Linked DNA regions of Macaca fascicularis. The protein of the gene in region 1 binds, or shares a complex with, the protein of each later gene. Links are inferred from orthologs where the notes say so. Each region holds a gene or a part of one and is shown on either strand. Other genes may lie near its edges.

Region 1 (4,782 bases):
TAGAGACAAGGACGGGGGCCTGACACCCCTCAGTCACCCAGAGACCAGTGAGAGGCAGAGACCTTCAACTCTGAGAGGCTCCCACCCCGGGCAGTCCTGGGGAGGGGGGGTGACTCAGCACCCACCTGTCCAACAAGCACATCTCACACCCCAGGATGCTCTCTTTAAGAAGCATCACCTGAGGCCGGGTGCAGTGGCTCACACCTGTAACCCTAGCACTTTGGGAGGCTGAGGCAGGTGGATTGCTTGAGGTCAGGAGTTCGAAACCAGCCTGGCCAACATCGTGAAATCCCATCTCTATTAACAGTACAAAAAATTGGCCAGGCACGGTGGCTCACACCTGCAATCCCAGCACTTTGGGAGGCTGAGGCAGGCGGATCACAATGTAAGGAGATCGAGACCATCCTGGCTAACACGGTGAAACCCCGTTTCTACTAAAAATACAAAAAATTAGCTGGGCGTGGTGGCGGGCACCTGTAGTCCCAGCTACTCTGGAGACTAAGGCAGGAGAATGGTGTGAACCCGGGAGAAGGAGCGTGCAGTGAGCCAAGATTGTGCCATTGCACTCTAACCTGGGCGACAGAGCGAGACTCCGTCTCAAAAAACCAAATAAACAAATAAATAAACACTACTAAAAAAAGTAAAAGTAGCCAGGTGAGATGGTGTATGCCTGTAAACCTAGCTTTTTGTGGGAGGCTGAGGTGGGAGGATTGCTTCAACCCAGGAGGTGGAGGTTGCAGTGAGCCGAGATTGCGCCACTGCACTCCAGCCTGGGCGACAGAGAGAGAGACTCAGCCTCAAAAAAAAAAGAACAAGAAGAAGACCGGGCGCGGTGGCTCACGCCTGTAATCCCAGCACTTTGGGAGGCCGAGGCAGGCAGATCACCTGAAGTCAGGAGTTTGAAAGCAGCCTGGCCAACATGGTGAAACCCCCTCTCTACCAAAAATACAAAAAAAAAAAAAAAAAAGCCAGGTATGGTGGTGGGTGCCTGCAGTCTCAGCTACTCAGGAAGCTGAGGCAGGAGAATTTTGAACTCAGGAGGTGGAGGCTGCAGCGAGCCGAAATGGCACCACTGCACTTCAGCCTGGGTGACAGAATGAGACTTTCAAAAAAAAAAAAAGCAGTAGCATCACCCGCTTGGCAGACACGCTCCGTCCACCCCACTGATTAATTCTGGGCACGCGGCTGTGTCCCTAGGCGCTGGTAGTCCCCCAACCACTGAGGGCGCTAGAGCCATCCTGGGGGGGCAGACAGGTGGGGAGACTTCCACGGTGCAGGTGCTGAAACCGAGGGTCCCAGGGGTCCCGGGAAAAGCGGCCTGAGCACAACCTCGAGGGATGAGTAGCGGACGCTGACAGGGCAGAGGCGGCATGGGGTGCAGAGGAATGGGCTGGGGCAGACAGGGGCCACAGCTCACAAGGAGGCTGCGCTGACCCACACGGGGCCTCCTGGGCCAGGCCAAGAAGTTGGAAGTGCACCCAACGGCCAGGATGAGGGAGCCAAGGAACACAGGTAGGGCAAAGGTCATGAGGGGCTGCGGGTGAGTAGGGAGGTCCATGGGACTCTCCTGGTTGGCAGGAAGAAAGGGGACCGATGAGAGGGAAACCAGAAAGAGGCTGCGCATGAGAGGGGTCAGAGGTCCACGGCATCGCCCACAGCAAGGAAGAGGAGGGGAAGTTTTCCTCCCAGATTGGGCAGAGGATCAAACGCTGGGCACGAGGCGGGAGGGAGGGGGTGCTAGCGGCCGGCTCCTCAGCAGGTGCTCGGGCGGCTCCACCAGAACTCCCCCGGGGACCCGCTGCTCACCTGGAAAGAACACAAACATCTGGTCGGTGGGGTCATCGTTGTGGGCCACCAGCACGGTGAGGTCAGTGCGCCGCGGCCGCCCCTCACTCGGCTTGTCTCCAAATTGGGCTTTGAACTCCTCCAGTGTCTGGTCAAGCTCGTCCTGGGTCACTAGGTAGCCACGGTCGTGGCACAGCTGCAGAGAGAAAGAACCAGCTGACCCCAGGGCAGAGACAGGAAGGCGGCCAGAGCTCGTGACCCAGAAGTCAGACCTGCGGCTGCTGCAGAGGACAGAGGTGAACAGCAAACGGAATGAACACTCGCTGTGTGCCCCATGACAGCCATCCTGGCCCCCACAGCCCCACACCACAGGATGGGACCAGCGTGATCCCGAGAGGCTCGCAGAGGTGTCCAGCCTTGACCAAGACCGTCCGTCTATCCAGCCTCACAGGAACCTGGCAGGGGGCAAAGCCCTCCAAACCACTTTGCAGAGCTACCCTAAAGACAGGGACAAAGACGGGGCGTGGGGGGTCACGTCCGCGACCCCAGAGCTCAGGGAGGCCGAGGCAGGAGGGCTGCTTGAGGCCAGGAGTTCAAGGATGCAGTGAGCTATGACTGCACCACTGCGCTGCAGCCTGGGCGACAGAGTGAGAGCTTGTCTCTTAAAAAAAAAAAAAAAAAAGACAGGGACCGAAACAGATGTGACTTCAGGCTGACAATGTTTGCGGCCCGGAGGAAGGAGAATCAGGCTGCGGGGGGCTGCGCTAAAGACAAGGGCATAGGGTGGGGAAGCAAGACAAAACAAAAGCTCCCAAACGGCCCCAACGGCTGAGGGAGGACCCTGAACCGCAGGCCCTCAGACATTTGCCCAGTTTCCAAACCGGAGTCGGCCCAGTGGCCTCCATCTGTCTCAGACCCCGAGGCACGGGTTCCGGGCTCCACGTCCCCATCGAAAGCCCCAGCTCGCCTGCTGCTTCCCAACCACCAACTCCGCCAGCCTCGGATGCTGAGACGCCCTGGGGTTCAGGGCGCAAGGACAAATGGCGACGCTGAATCACAGAGTGGGGCAGGGTCTGGGGGCGCCCCCCGTCCCCATTCGCACCTTCCTCCTCTCGCCGCCATGTGCGCCGCACCAGCCCAAGCCGCCCGCCCACCGCTAAGCCCCGCACCCAGACGTCTCGAAACCCCCTCCCTTCCCCGCTGCCGGCTCAGGTCGGGCCCAGCGCCTGGGATCCCCGGCGGCCTCGGGGTCTCCCGTGTCGGCCGGGCCCTCCGTCGCTGCTGCTGCTGCGACGGGAGTACGAGGAGACGCCGAGCTCGACCTCCCCTCGGGCCCCTGCACCTGCTGCTCGCGCCCCCGCCCCCAACACCACGCGCGGCTCACCTGCATGATGGTCTTGCGGATTTTCCAGAGCCGGTACGTCTCCTCCTCGTCGTCCATCGCCGCCACTCGCACCCGTTTTGCCTGCGAGAACCCGCGCGGACTGCGCCTGCGCCGACTCCCAATCAGGCCCCCTCCACGTAACCCCGCCCCGCGATGGGCTGTCGTCGGCGAACGCCTGAATGCAGCAACTTCCGGGATCGGCAGCGCCAAGGGCAGCCCGAGCCTTGCGAGAACGGCAGTTTGCTGCGCGAGACTCTCCCTCCGTAGTTCTCGTGTGTCTTTGGCTGCACGGCCTCTTGGGAGTTGTAGTTTCCGTTCAACTCCCACGTTGCGGGGACAGTTTAGAATCCCATAAGGCGGGGGCGAAGTGTGGGCGGGGAAACTGAGGCCTGGAATGGGTAAAGGGGCAGCTCGGCTCCTAGGGACGGTCGGGGAGCCTAGTGGGAACTCTATACATATTTGTGCATCAAACTGTACAGGGTTTCCTCTGTTGGCTCCAGGCCAGGTCAGGGTTAATGCCCTTGGGCCTCAGTTTCCCTACCTGTGCAATGGCAAAAAGTGTCCCTACTTTAGGCGGTTAACTGAGAGTCTTAGGTAGAGCTAGGCATATCTCTAGGTGCTTTTTAAGTCCCTTCACCTCTGTCCTCTCCCCTGAGTGCCAGCCTAGCCTGGGTATCTCCCCACCCCAGATCCGTCCTGTCTTTGCAAACCTCACCTCCCCAGATTCACGGAGGATCCCAGCCCAGCACTCGCTGTGTGAAGGCAATCAGTCACTGACTCAGTGACGCATTCATTAATTCAGCATTTACTCAGCAACCTACAGTGATGGTGAATAAAAACAGGCCAGGTATCCCTTGCATTCAGAGACAGGATTTAGTAAAATAACGTTACTGGGCGCAGTGGCTCATGCCTGTAATCCGAGCACTTTGGGAGGCTGAGGTGGGCAGATCACGAGATCAGGAGATCGAGACCATCCTGGCTAACACGGTGAAACCCCATCTCTACTAAAAATACAAAAAATTAGCTGGGCCAGGTGCCCGTAGTCTCAGCTACTCGGGAGGCTGACGCAGGAGAATCTCGTGAACCTGGAAGGGGGAGGTTGCAGTGAGCCGAGATCGCGCCACTGCATTCCAGCCTGGGCCACAGAGTGAGACTCTGTCTCAATAAATAAATAAATAAATAAATAAATAAATAAATAAATAGGACAGGCGCAGTGGCTCATGCCTGTAATCCCAGCACTTTGGGAGGCCAAGGTGGGTGGATCATGAGGTCAGGAGTTCGAGACCAGCCTGGCCAAGATGGTGAAACCCTGTCTCTACTAAAAACTACAAAAATTGGCCAGGCGCGGTGGCTCAAGCCTGTAATCCCAGCACTTTGGGAGGCCGAGATGGGCGGATCATGAGGTCAGGAGATCAAGACCATCCTGGCTAACACAGTGAAACCCCATCTCTACTAAAAAATACAAAAAGCTAGCCGGGCGAGGTGGCGGGCGCCTGTAGTCCCAGCTACTCAGGAGGCTGAGGCAGGAGAATGGCATGAACCCGGGAGGCGGAGCTTGCAATGAGCTGAGATCTGGCCACTGCACTCCAGCCTGGGCGACAGAGCGAGACTCC
Region 2 (4,986 bases), on another chromosome or scaffold:
AACCTGGGAAGCGGAGGTTGCAGTGAGCCGAGATCACAACACTGTACTCCAGCCTGGGTGACAGAGCGAGACTGTGTCTCAAAAAAACAAACAAAAAATAAACCAAATTGCTGTATTTTATTTTGTGAAATAGGGTCTAGCTCTGTCGCCCAGGCTGGAGTGCAGTGGTGCAATCACAGCTCACTGCAGCCATGACCTCCAGGGTTCAAGCGATCCTCTTGCCTCAGTTTCCAAGTAGCTGGGACTACAGGTATGCACCATCTTATGTTGCCCAGGCTGGTCTTGAAGTCCTGGAGAGAGATACATATAAACACACACACACACACACACACACACACACACACACACACACACACACAGAGTTTGTTTTTTTTTTTTTTTTGAGACACAGTTTCGCTCTTGTTACCCAGGCTGGAGTGCAATGGCACGATCTTGGCTCACTGCAACCTTTGCCTCCCAGGTTCAAGCGATTCTCCTGCCTCAGCCTCCCAAGTAGCTGGGATTACAGGCACCACCACCACGCCCAGCTAATTTTGTATTTTTAGTAGAGACAGGGTTTCGTCACGGCCAGGCTGGTCTCAAACTCCTGGCCTCAGGTGATCCACCTGCCTCAGCCTCCCAAAGTGTTGGGATAACAGGCGTGAGCCACTGTGCTCGGCCCATACATATGCATTTTTAAAAATTTATTTATTTATTTAGAGACAGGGTCTCGCTCTGTTGCCCAAGTGGGAGTGCAGTGATGCTATCTCCCTGGCTCAAGCAATCCTCAGTCTCACGAGTAGCTGGGACTACAGGTGTGTGCCACCACACCTAGATAATTTTTATTGTTTTTATTTTTTACATTTTTCGTAGAGATGGGGTTTCACGGCGTCACCCAGCCTGGATATTTTTGTATTTTTGATAGGCCTGTATAGTTTCCAAAGTTGCAACCTTTTCCCCTCCCTGAGGGTAGGGGCAGCCTCTGCTCTCCCTCTACATCCCCTACAGTCCCGAGGTTTTGGCCTCTGCTGTTTCCTGTTTCCTATGCTTGGAACACCAGTCGCTCTTTTGTTGGTCTGGTTGACTCCTGTTCCTCTTTTAAAAATTTAAGTTTGGCCAGGCACGGTGGCTCACACTTGTAATCCCAGCACTTTGGGAGGCCGAGGCGGGTGGATGACCTGAGGTCAGCAGTTCGAGACCAGTTTGGCCAACATAGTGCAACCCCGTCTCTACTAAAAATACAAAAGTTAGCCGGGTATGGTGACATGCGCCTGTAATCCCAGCTACTTGGGAGGCTGAGGCACGAGAATTGCTTGAACCCAGGAGGCGGAAGTTGCAGTGAGCTGGGATCACGACACTGCACTCCACCTGGGCAACAGAGATGGAGGTTGCAGTGAGCTGAGATCACGCCACTGCACTCCAGCCTGGGCAACAGGGCAAGACTAGGTCTCAAAAGAAAGAAAAAAAAAGTCAAGGGGGTAACACCTCTTGGAAACTCTCCTGCTGTTTCTCATTCCAGCATCATCACAGCCTTGAGGCTCTGGGGTAGATCACTTCGTCGAGCTCGTTTACGTGAGGATAACGTTATCTTGGTGGTCTGTAAGAATGTTGCATTGAGTACAGAGCCCAGGCTCCTGGGTCACCCGGGTTCAAATCCCCTTTCCTCCGTGAGGATCTGGGTCAATCACAGTGCTTCAGTTTCTTTGATTTAACTGAGGGAGGCTTTGACTCCAAAAAATTAACACTCGAGTGTACCCGGCCACAGCTTAGCACATCCAGAGTATTTCCACCCTTTCTTTGGGATTCTTGGGCCTGGATGGAGCAGGACCTTCCTGCCTCTCCTTACTCGCGCATTCGCGCTGAGTGGAACAAGTGGTCCAAGTAGAATGAGGGGCGGGGTTTGGCGGCGCTCTAGCTCGCGGAGAGCACACGCTCTCCCCACGCGGGGTCCCTGATTGGCTGAAGGTTGCGCCGGCAAGCGCAACTTCCGGGACAGAGGGCTGTGGCTGGAAGGAGCAGAGCATCCGGCCTGAGGCGCAGCGGTCGTGTTAGTTCGGCCCAATGGCGGCACCACTGCTTCACACGCGGTTGCCGGGAGATGCGGCTGCTTCGGCCTCTGCAGTCAAGACGCTGGGCGCGTCGAGGACTGGGTAAGATTCAGGCCGCTTCCTTCTGCGCGTCCGAGACCAAAGCTCAGGACTGCGCTTAGGGGAGCGGATTGAAAGGGTCTGGGACAAAGCTAATGGCGTGTGGTAAGAGCACGGGGTCGAGGGTCATCTCATGTTCGCGGGAATGAGCTCATTCCTCCTAACTGGGTAATAGACATGGGTGGGGCCTGGAAAAGTCAGTATTTTATCTGTTCTGGAGCCCCCCTTTCCCGACTGTATTTCTTCGTGATTTCCCAGGCCTCGGTACTGCCTTCTGCGCCTTGACTCCTCTTCCCGCTTCTTCGTCCAAATTTGGAAGGGATTCCCTGGGCTATTCGGTTTATCAGCCGAATATTGTCACTCATGGCAAATTGAATATTACATCTTTTTTGTTTGAAATTTGTTTCGACACACGTATTTGTTTAGCAGTCTTTATTTTGCTCCGCTTTTAAATCCCTAACCCCCATAGCACACTTGGCGTTTAACTTTCAGAGTCATTAGGATGCTATGTTTTTTCATTAATTTACTCTGTGTAAGTGAAGCAGACCTTGTAAAACAATTAGCATAATATGATTCATAATATTTATCGATCTCCTGCTTACTATGTTAAACACTGGGGACAGTGGTTTATCCAAAGACACTAATGTCCCTGCTTTCTACAGAGCTTACAGCCTATGGGGGAAAGGCAGTACATAGGCCAATAAATTACGATGGTTTCAGTTATACAACAGGGTAATGGGGAGGGAGAAGGGAGAGAAGGAGTACTTGAGATTTCTCGTGGGGAAGACATCTGACATTTGAGCTTCCACTTGAATGAAGACAAAAGTCTAGGCCGGGAGTAGTTGCTCACGCCTGTAATCACAGCACTTTGAAATGCCGAGGTGGGCGGATCACCTGAAGTCAGGAGATCGAGACCAGCCTGGCCAACATGCCAAAACCCCATCTCTACTAAAAATACAAAAATTAGCCGAGCGTGGTGGCGGGTGCCTGTAATCCCAGCTACTCAGGAGGCTGAGGCAGGAGAATTGTTTGAACCCGGGAGATGGAGGTTGCAGTTAAGCCGAGATCACACCACTGCACTCCAGCCTGGGCAGCAGAGCAAGACACGTCTCAAAAACAAACAAACAAACAAACAAAAAAATCCAGCCACGTGGAGATTTGGGAAAAGAGTATTTCCGATAGAGTGAACAGTAAGTGAAATGAGAACCAGCTTGGCATGTCGAAGAGCAGAAAAGACATTATGGCTGTAGTAAAACAAGGTGTTGGAGATGAGGTGAGAGAGGTAGGCAGGGGCCAGATTAATGTAGGATCTTAAATACCACACTGAGAGATTTGAATTTTTACTATAAGTGCAGTGGGAAGACAGTTTTCGGTTGCTGAGCGAAGGAGGGATTGTTGGTTAGGAGTGGAAGCAGGGAGACCAGTAAAGAGGCCTTAACAATAGTCCCACTGAATGATGTTGGTTCAATAAATGTTGGCTATTATAATTTTTAATATTTTCATGAACTTAATAGCTTGTTAATTTTGGTTCCACAGGATTTCAAATATGCGTGCATTAGAGAATGATTTTTTCAATTCTCCCCCAAGAAAAACTGTTCGGTTTGGTGGAACTGTGACAGAAGTCTTGCTAAAGTATAAAAAGGTAAGAGGAGATAATGTATGAGGTTTGCTTTTGGTCAGGTCAGAATACAACTATTGCTGTTATACTAAAGACCAATAGAAATAGCAAGCTTAATTAAGATACCAGTTGAAATCAAATATTTAATAATAGCATGATGCCGTCAGTGCAAACTTAGAGTAATAGTGTCCTTTTTTTCCCCCACCTTGGCCCGTTTCACAGGTAATAATGAGAGAGTAATAATGTCTTTACTGAGGTTTCACCTCTTCACATGCTTTATTTACAAGCATCTTTTAGCTTTAGCAAGTGCTAGAATGAAAAACAATTACAGAGTTTTATTTACTTATTTATTTTTATTTTTTTAATTTTTTGAGCCGGAGTCTCACTCTGTCACCCAGGCTGGAGTGCAGTGGCGTGATCTCAGCTCACAGCATCCTCCACCTCCCAGGTTCAAGCAATTCCCCTGCCTCAGTCTCCTGAATAGCTGGGATTACAGACACGTACCACCACACCTGGCTAATTTTTTAATTTTTTTAGTAGAGATGGGGTTTCGGCATGTTGGCCAGGCTGGTCTCAAACTCCTGACCTTGTGATCCGCCCACCTCGGCCTCCCAAAGTGCTGGGATTACAGGCGTGAGCCACTGTGCCTGGCCTACAGCATTTTATTTTTTGAGGAACTTACCTAAGCATTACTTTAGGACAGTAAACCATCATCTGACTAGAGATTTTTGTTTCTGTGGTAGTTCAGAAGCATTTCTACTATATCTCAGGAGTAGAGGGAAAATGTTAAGTAACCGTATGTTTACATGTAATATCCATTTGTATCCATATTTGAGTGAATACTTTTTTAGATCCTCCTGAATAGATCATTATAGCTGGCTGTTTTTTTCCCTCATGCTTTTTGAGAATTCGCAGGAGTATCAACTGTTATATTCAAATGTCAATACAGAAGTATAGCCAAATGTAGTTTATCATTTTCCTTTTTCCAAGCCCTCTGGCTGCACTAACATGAGTGTTTAAATTTTTGTAGTCATGATTTTATAATCTGCAATTGACATGTGAAAGTTAGTGTTCCTTTTATAATTTCATCTGATGTTAAGGTATGGTTAAAAGTCTTGCTGTTGCTACTAAATAGGAAACAAAAGCATAACTTAATTCTTTCCCCTTCTTGTTAAGGGTGAAACAAATGACTTCGAGTTGTTGAAGAACCAGCTGTTAGATCCAGACATAAAGGTAATTAAT
Region 3 (4,829 bases), on another chromosome or scaffold:
AGTCACTGGAAGCATAGGAAATGAGGGACAAAATGTGTAAGGTTGATAGGAGATCCTGTGCATAAATTTGGGAACTGCAAAAGGCTGCCCTTTTTTGTAAAAGTGAACAACAAAAGAAAAAATTCAACTCTATAGAAGGGGAATTTGACTGTCTCAGTAGGTAGAAAGAGAGAAAACTCTTTCCTGAGAATTTCTAGCCATAAGCTAGCCCTTACATGGATTTGCAGCTCAAATTCATACTATCTGTGTGCTCCAAAAAACATGAAGCCAAGAATTTATTTAAAGTAATTCCAGCTTGATAGTGCTTCAAGGCACCTAGAAAAGAAACACAAATGCTGAGAATACAGCACTTACCCAAGGCCTCAAAGAATTCCTACAGTTCAAGTTCTAAAAAACTCAAATTTATTGTCAAAAATTACAAAACAAAGAAAAAAGCACTATGAGAGAGACAGCAGAAACAGACAGCAGCATCAGACACACAAAATCCATGGATATCAGAATTATGAGACATAGAATATAATAACTATATTTAATATTTTATATATTTAAAGACTAGTAAAAGGAACAATTTAAAATATGATTAAGGAACTGAGAATTATTTAAAAATTGAGATTTGAAAAGTAATTAAATAGAACTCAAAATAATAACAATAGTAAAAAATAATAATATTTGAAATAAACTGAAGACAGAACTAGTGACATGGAAGAGGAACCTGAAGAAATTACTCAGAAGGTGGCATAAAGAGAAAAGCGATTGAAAATATGAAAAGAGGGCGAGAGAAATGGAGGACAGAAGAGAGAAATCTCATTCTAGTAACTAATTAGAGGTCCAGAATGTGAGGACTGAGAACATGGGGGAAAGAGAATATTAAAAGAGATGATGGCTGATAATTTTCCAAGGTTGATGAAAAAAAAATCCACTCTAGGCTGGGCGTAGTGGCTCACGCCTGTAATCCCAGCACTTGGGGAGGCCGAGGCGGGTGGATCACGAGGTCAGGAGATCGAGATCATCCTGGCTAACACAGTGAAATCTCGTCTCTACTAAAAAACACAAAAAATTAGCCGGGCGTGGTGGGGGGCACCTGTAGTCCCAGCTATTCAGGAGGCTGAGGCAGGAGAATGGCGTGAACCCGGGAGGCGGAGCTTGCAGTGAGCCGAGAACACACCACTGGACTCCAGCCTGGGAGACAGAGCGAGACTCCGTCTCAAAAAAACAAAACAAAACAAAAAACAACAATGCACTCTCAGTTTCAGAAAGTCCAACAAATCCCAAACAGAATAAAAGAAAATCACATTTTGATATACTATAGTGACTGCAGAACACCAAAGACAAAGATGAGGTCTTAAAAGCATTCAGAAAGCCCATGTTCTCTAAATCATGTGTGACTAATTCTCTCCAAAGTAAAGCTACCTTGACTGCGGTTGAAGACTGCAGTATAAGACGCTGACCACTAAACAATACTTGCTTCTTATGGTTTTTTTTCTTCATTTCCTTTTAAATATCCTAAAAGAAGGTCAGGCAGGGTGGCTCATGCCTGTAATCCCCAGCACTTTGGGATGCTGAGGTGGGTTGATTGAGCTCAGGAGTTCAAGACCAGCCTGGGAAACAGAGAGAAACCCTATCTCTACTAAAAATACAAAAAACAAAACAAAACAAAAAGCCAGGTGTGGTGGCACGTGCCTGTGGTCCCAAAGCTATTTTGGAGGCTGAGGTGGGAGGATTACCTGAGCCCAGGAGGCGGAGGTTGCAGTGAGCCAAGATTGCCTCACTGCACTCCAGGCTAGGTGACAGAGCAACACCCTGTCCATTTAAAAAAAAAAAAAAAAAACAAAACAAAAACCTAAAAGGTTTATTTCACTGGTTACAAAAAGGGTTAAAAAAGTGTAATTTAAAAAAATAAAAACTACAAATCTCCCTCTTACCAGAACTGCACAGAAATAAGGGATGGGACGAAAGGACACAGCCGTTTAGTACAAAAAAATAAATCACTGGATTTGTTTATTAGTTAGCAAACAGACTGAGCAAAGGGAGGGGAAAGGATACCCACTTGCAGTTGGTACAGGTGTAGAAGACAGTTTGCCCTTCATCGGCTGAACGCATCTGTCTGGTGTGGTATGCCATTCCTTCATGACCACATCGAGGGCAGCGCCTGTCAACCTGGGAAGAAACTGGTGGGTTATGGAGGCCTGGTCATATCATACCCTTACTTCCCACAGGAACCAGGCGATCACGCCTCTCAAACATCGATGCTTTACATCTTTTCCCACTTGGAATTGGGCACAAAACTCTCCAGATCTCTGCAATCACTCCTCCATTTCTTTCCTACCCACCTTATGGAGCCAGTTCTTGATCTCATTAACTTACCACAGGTCCCTGGCACTCAGGCCCTTCCTCCACCGACATAGGCATGGCTGTCCCCAGTTGGTGGAACACAACTGAAGTCTTCACAACCTTCCCCTCAAAGTCTGCACAGGCAAGTAAGACTGGTTATGGAGACAACCTGAGGGAGCTGACACCGGAAACTTCCCCTCTCCCCTGGCTGGTTAGGCCAGGAGGCCCTATATCCTTTCCCTCAGTTTTCATCGCTGGACCAAATGTACAACTGCCTGATGTCCTGCTCTAGGATCCCCTTCTGAACCCAACCTATCTTGAGTTCCCCAAGCTTCCGATCCTGGGCCCTCCGCCAGGACCCCTGTGTACAAGCCTCTCACCCCGAACGTTGATGTTGAAGCCACAGCGAGTACAGGTGACCGTATCCTGAGCCCCGGGCAGAGGCAGGACCGAGCCGCAATCTGAACAGAAATCCAAGTCCGACTGAAAGCTGGAGCAAGTACCGGCGAGGTCCATGACAGACATGCAGTCGGGTCTGAGGAGGGAGTTAGAAGTTTATTAACAAAAGAGAGAAGAGTTCCTGCCCCAGAGTTGGTAACTATTCCGTCCCAGGACGTAGGAGTATATAACCCGAGTCCTCCTCCCACGCACGCCTCCTGCCTCTGCGACCAAGGAGCCGAAACGCCCGGAACTCCCAGACAGCGTCGGGTACTAAAAGGACTTGGAACCCTTTCCTGGGGCCGGCGAGAGGAGCTGGCCAACTCCGTGGGCTAGAGCGCCAGCTCTGCGCCCGCGGCGGGGCAGCGAGCTAGAGCCGGCTAGAGCGTCACGCTTTCACGCTGACGATTGGCTGTGACGTCATAATTAATTGCGAACCGTGTCTCGGAAGCCTTAGAGATGGAGAGTCACCTCTTCTAAGGGAGGTTGGGGCTCAACTTTCAGGCTGGTACTGAGACGTTGAGCACAAAATTGGTAACCAATGCTGCGCTTCCAGCAAATTTTCCCACCAGCACCGAATCCTGGGATATTTATTCTCTGTTTCACATCCTACGGGAACCCAATCGCGGGGGAATATCCTCCTGAAAACCGTACTTTGCTGAATAATGACTTCTTTGGATTAGAGAACTACAACTCCCCTGGGTCCTGAGCTGGTATTTCCCTTTTGCGGCTGCACAGTAGTTAAAAACAAAGCTAAGTGTTCTGGCATGTATAGTTCTAGCGTTCCTTGGGTCCCGCTGGCGAGCGTGGGCTTTCTGCAGAGCGCAGCCGGCCTGTGCTTTGCGGACGGTTCACCGCGCTTGGAAAGGGGTGAGTCGGCTTCTTGAGGGACAGCAAGTGGTGAGGGTGAAGGCCAGAGGAATCCTTAGTCCCACGGGACGAAAGGAAGCAGGGATGAAGTGGGACACTTGAGAAGGGGCTCAGGACTTTGGAGGTGGTAGAACAGAAGAGCTTGGGGCTTCCCCTCCTTCGACTCCTGCCAGATAAGTGAGGCTAGCAGTAGTCAAGAAGCTCATTAAGTAGGATTTCATAAGACTTAGGTCGAGTTTGGCTTTTAGTTGTGCCTGCCGCTTATCGAACTCTTAATTCATTATTCGTCATCCATTAAGTGGACAGCTGACATTTCCCTGATCTTTTATAAAACATGGGAATAAGTTTCTTTCGGAAATCTTGCTATTTTCGTTACTCTGTAACTTATATTCGAAGTAGAAACTTTCCCTGAAGGGGCAGCTTGTCGTTGTTTACTAGTTTCATGCTAGTCCTCCCACCACCACCCACTCTGATAGCTGTGCTAAGTTCCTTCATATGAAAGTTCTGGAGCCATCACTATTTTGTCCTGTGAAGGACACAAGCTGTAGTCTTTTCGCTGGGAGAGGCTCCCATCTGCCTTTCTCTGTGATAATGGAGAGAACACCATAGTTAAAGGGTTAAAACTCAGCAAACTGCTGAAGAGTGACAAGCCCTATCACTTAACTGTGAAATTGCTTGTTATTCTGTCTGACAAAGGGAGATGTGTTGTTGAGCTGATTGTCGTAGACAGTTTTTATTCTCACTTATCTGTGTGTCTCCTTTGAAAATGGAACTTGAAATTCTACCCTTCTCAATTTTCTCTTTTTAATTTGAAAAACACTCACCCAACATCCCCTGTGAGTTGCAGTAAAGAACAAAGCATTGAAAGGCATATCCTTTTCCCAACAGAAGCTCACAATCTATTCAATAAAGTATTTATTGAGCAACTATGCCAGGTTTTGAGCTGAGGCTGAACCTGCAAAGTTGAAATCTGTGTTCTTTGACCTCAAGGAACATGAATGAATAATTAGAATACAATAAAATTGTGCCAGGAGGTGCAAAATGTGAGAGCTCAGAACATACATATAAAGCAAACATATCTGTAAACTTCAAGGAAGACTGGGAAATGATTTAATAAAAAGATAGATACAATGTTATGGCAGATATTTAAAAAGATGCTCAGATATTATGTGTCAAGGATCATCAGCAAT

The links. The genes of interacting proteins can lie anywhere in the genome.
Region 2: POLR2E (region 1) and RRN3 share a complex: the UniProt entries of both Homo sapiens proteins name them as parts of the pol I pre-initiation complex. The link is inferred for Macaca fascicularis from reciprocal best matches to the Homo sapiens genes POLR2E and RRN3.
Region 3: POLR2E (region 1) and POLR1H share a complex: the UniProt entries of both Homo sapiens proteins name them as parts of the pol I pre-initiation complex. The link is inferred for Macaca fascicularis from reciprocal best matches to the Homo sapiens genes POLR2E and POLR1H.

What each region holds. Positions count from the first base shown.
Region 1 is NC_088393.1:1,665,473-1,670,254, forward strand, and holds the start of POLR2E (DNA-directed RNA polymerases I, II, and III subunit RPABC1), read right to left. Parts: upstream 3,272-4,782; 5' UTR 3,227-3,271; coding exon 3,170-3,226; intron 1,982-3,169; coding exon 1,807-1,981; intron 1-1,806. UniProt on the Homo sapiens protein: DNA-dependent RNA polymerase catalyzes the transcription of DNA into RNA using the four ribonucleoside triphosphates as substrates.
Region 2 is NC_088394.1:15,491,573-15,496,558, forward strand, and holds the start of RRN3 (RNA polymerase I-specific transcription initiation factor RRN3), read left to right. Parts: upstream 1-1,968; 5' UTR 1,969-2,040; coding exon 2,041-2,129; intron 2,130-3,662; coding exon 3,663-3,768; intron 3,769-4,920; coding exon 4,921-4,977; intron 4,978-4,986. UniProt on the Homo sapiens protein: Required for efficient transcription initiation by RNA polymerase I (Pol I). Required for the formation of the competent pre-initiation complex (PIC).
Region 3 is NC_088378.1:142,602,537-142,607,365, forward strand, and holds the start of POLR1H (DNA-directed RNA polymerase I subunit RPA12), read right to left. Parts: upstream 3,019-4,829; 5' UTR 2,992-3,018; exon of another isoform or gene 2,983-2,991; intron 2,867-2,982; 5' UTR 2,857-2,866; coding exon 2,712-2,856; intron 2,466-2,711; coding exon 2,365-2,465; intron 2,158-2,364; coding exon 2,048-2,157; intron 1-2,047. UniProt on the Homo sapiens protein: Core component of RNA polymerase I (Pol I), a DNA-dependent RNA polymerase which synthesizes ribosomal RNA precursors using the four ribonucleoside triphosphates as substrates. Can mediate Pol I proofreading of the nascent RNA transcript.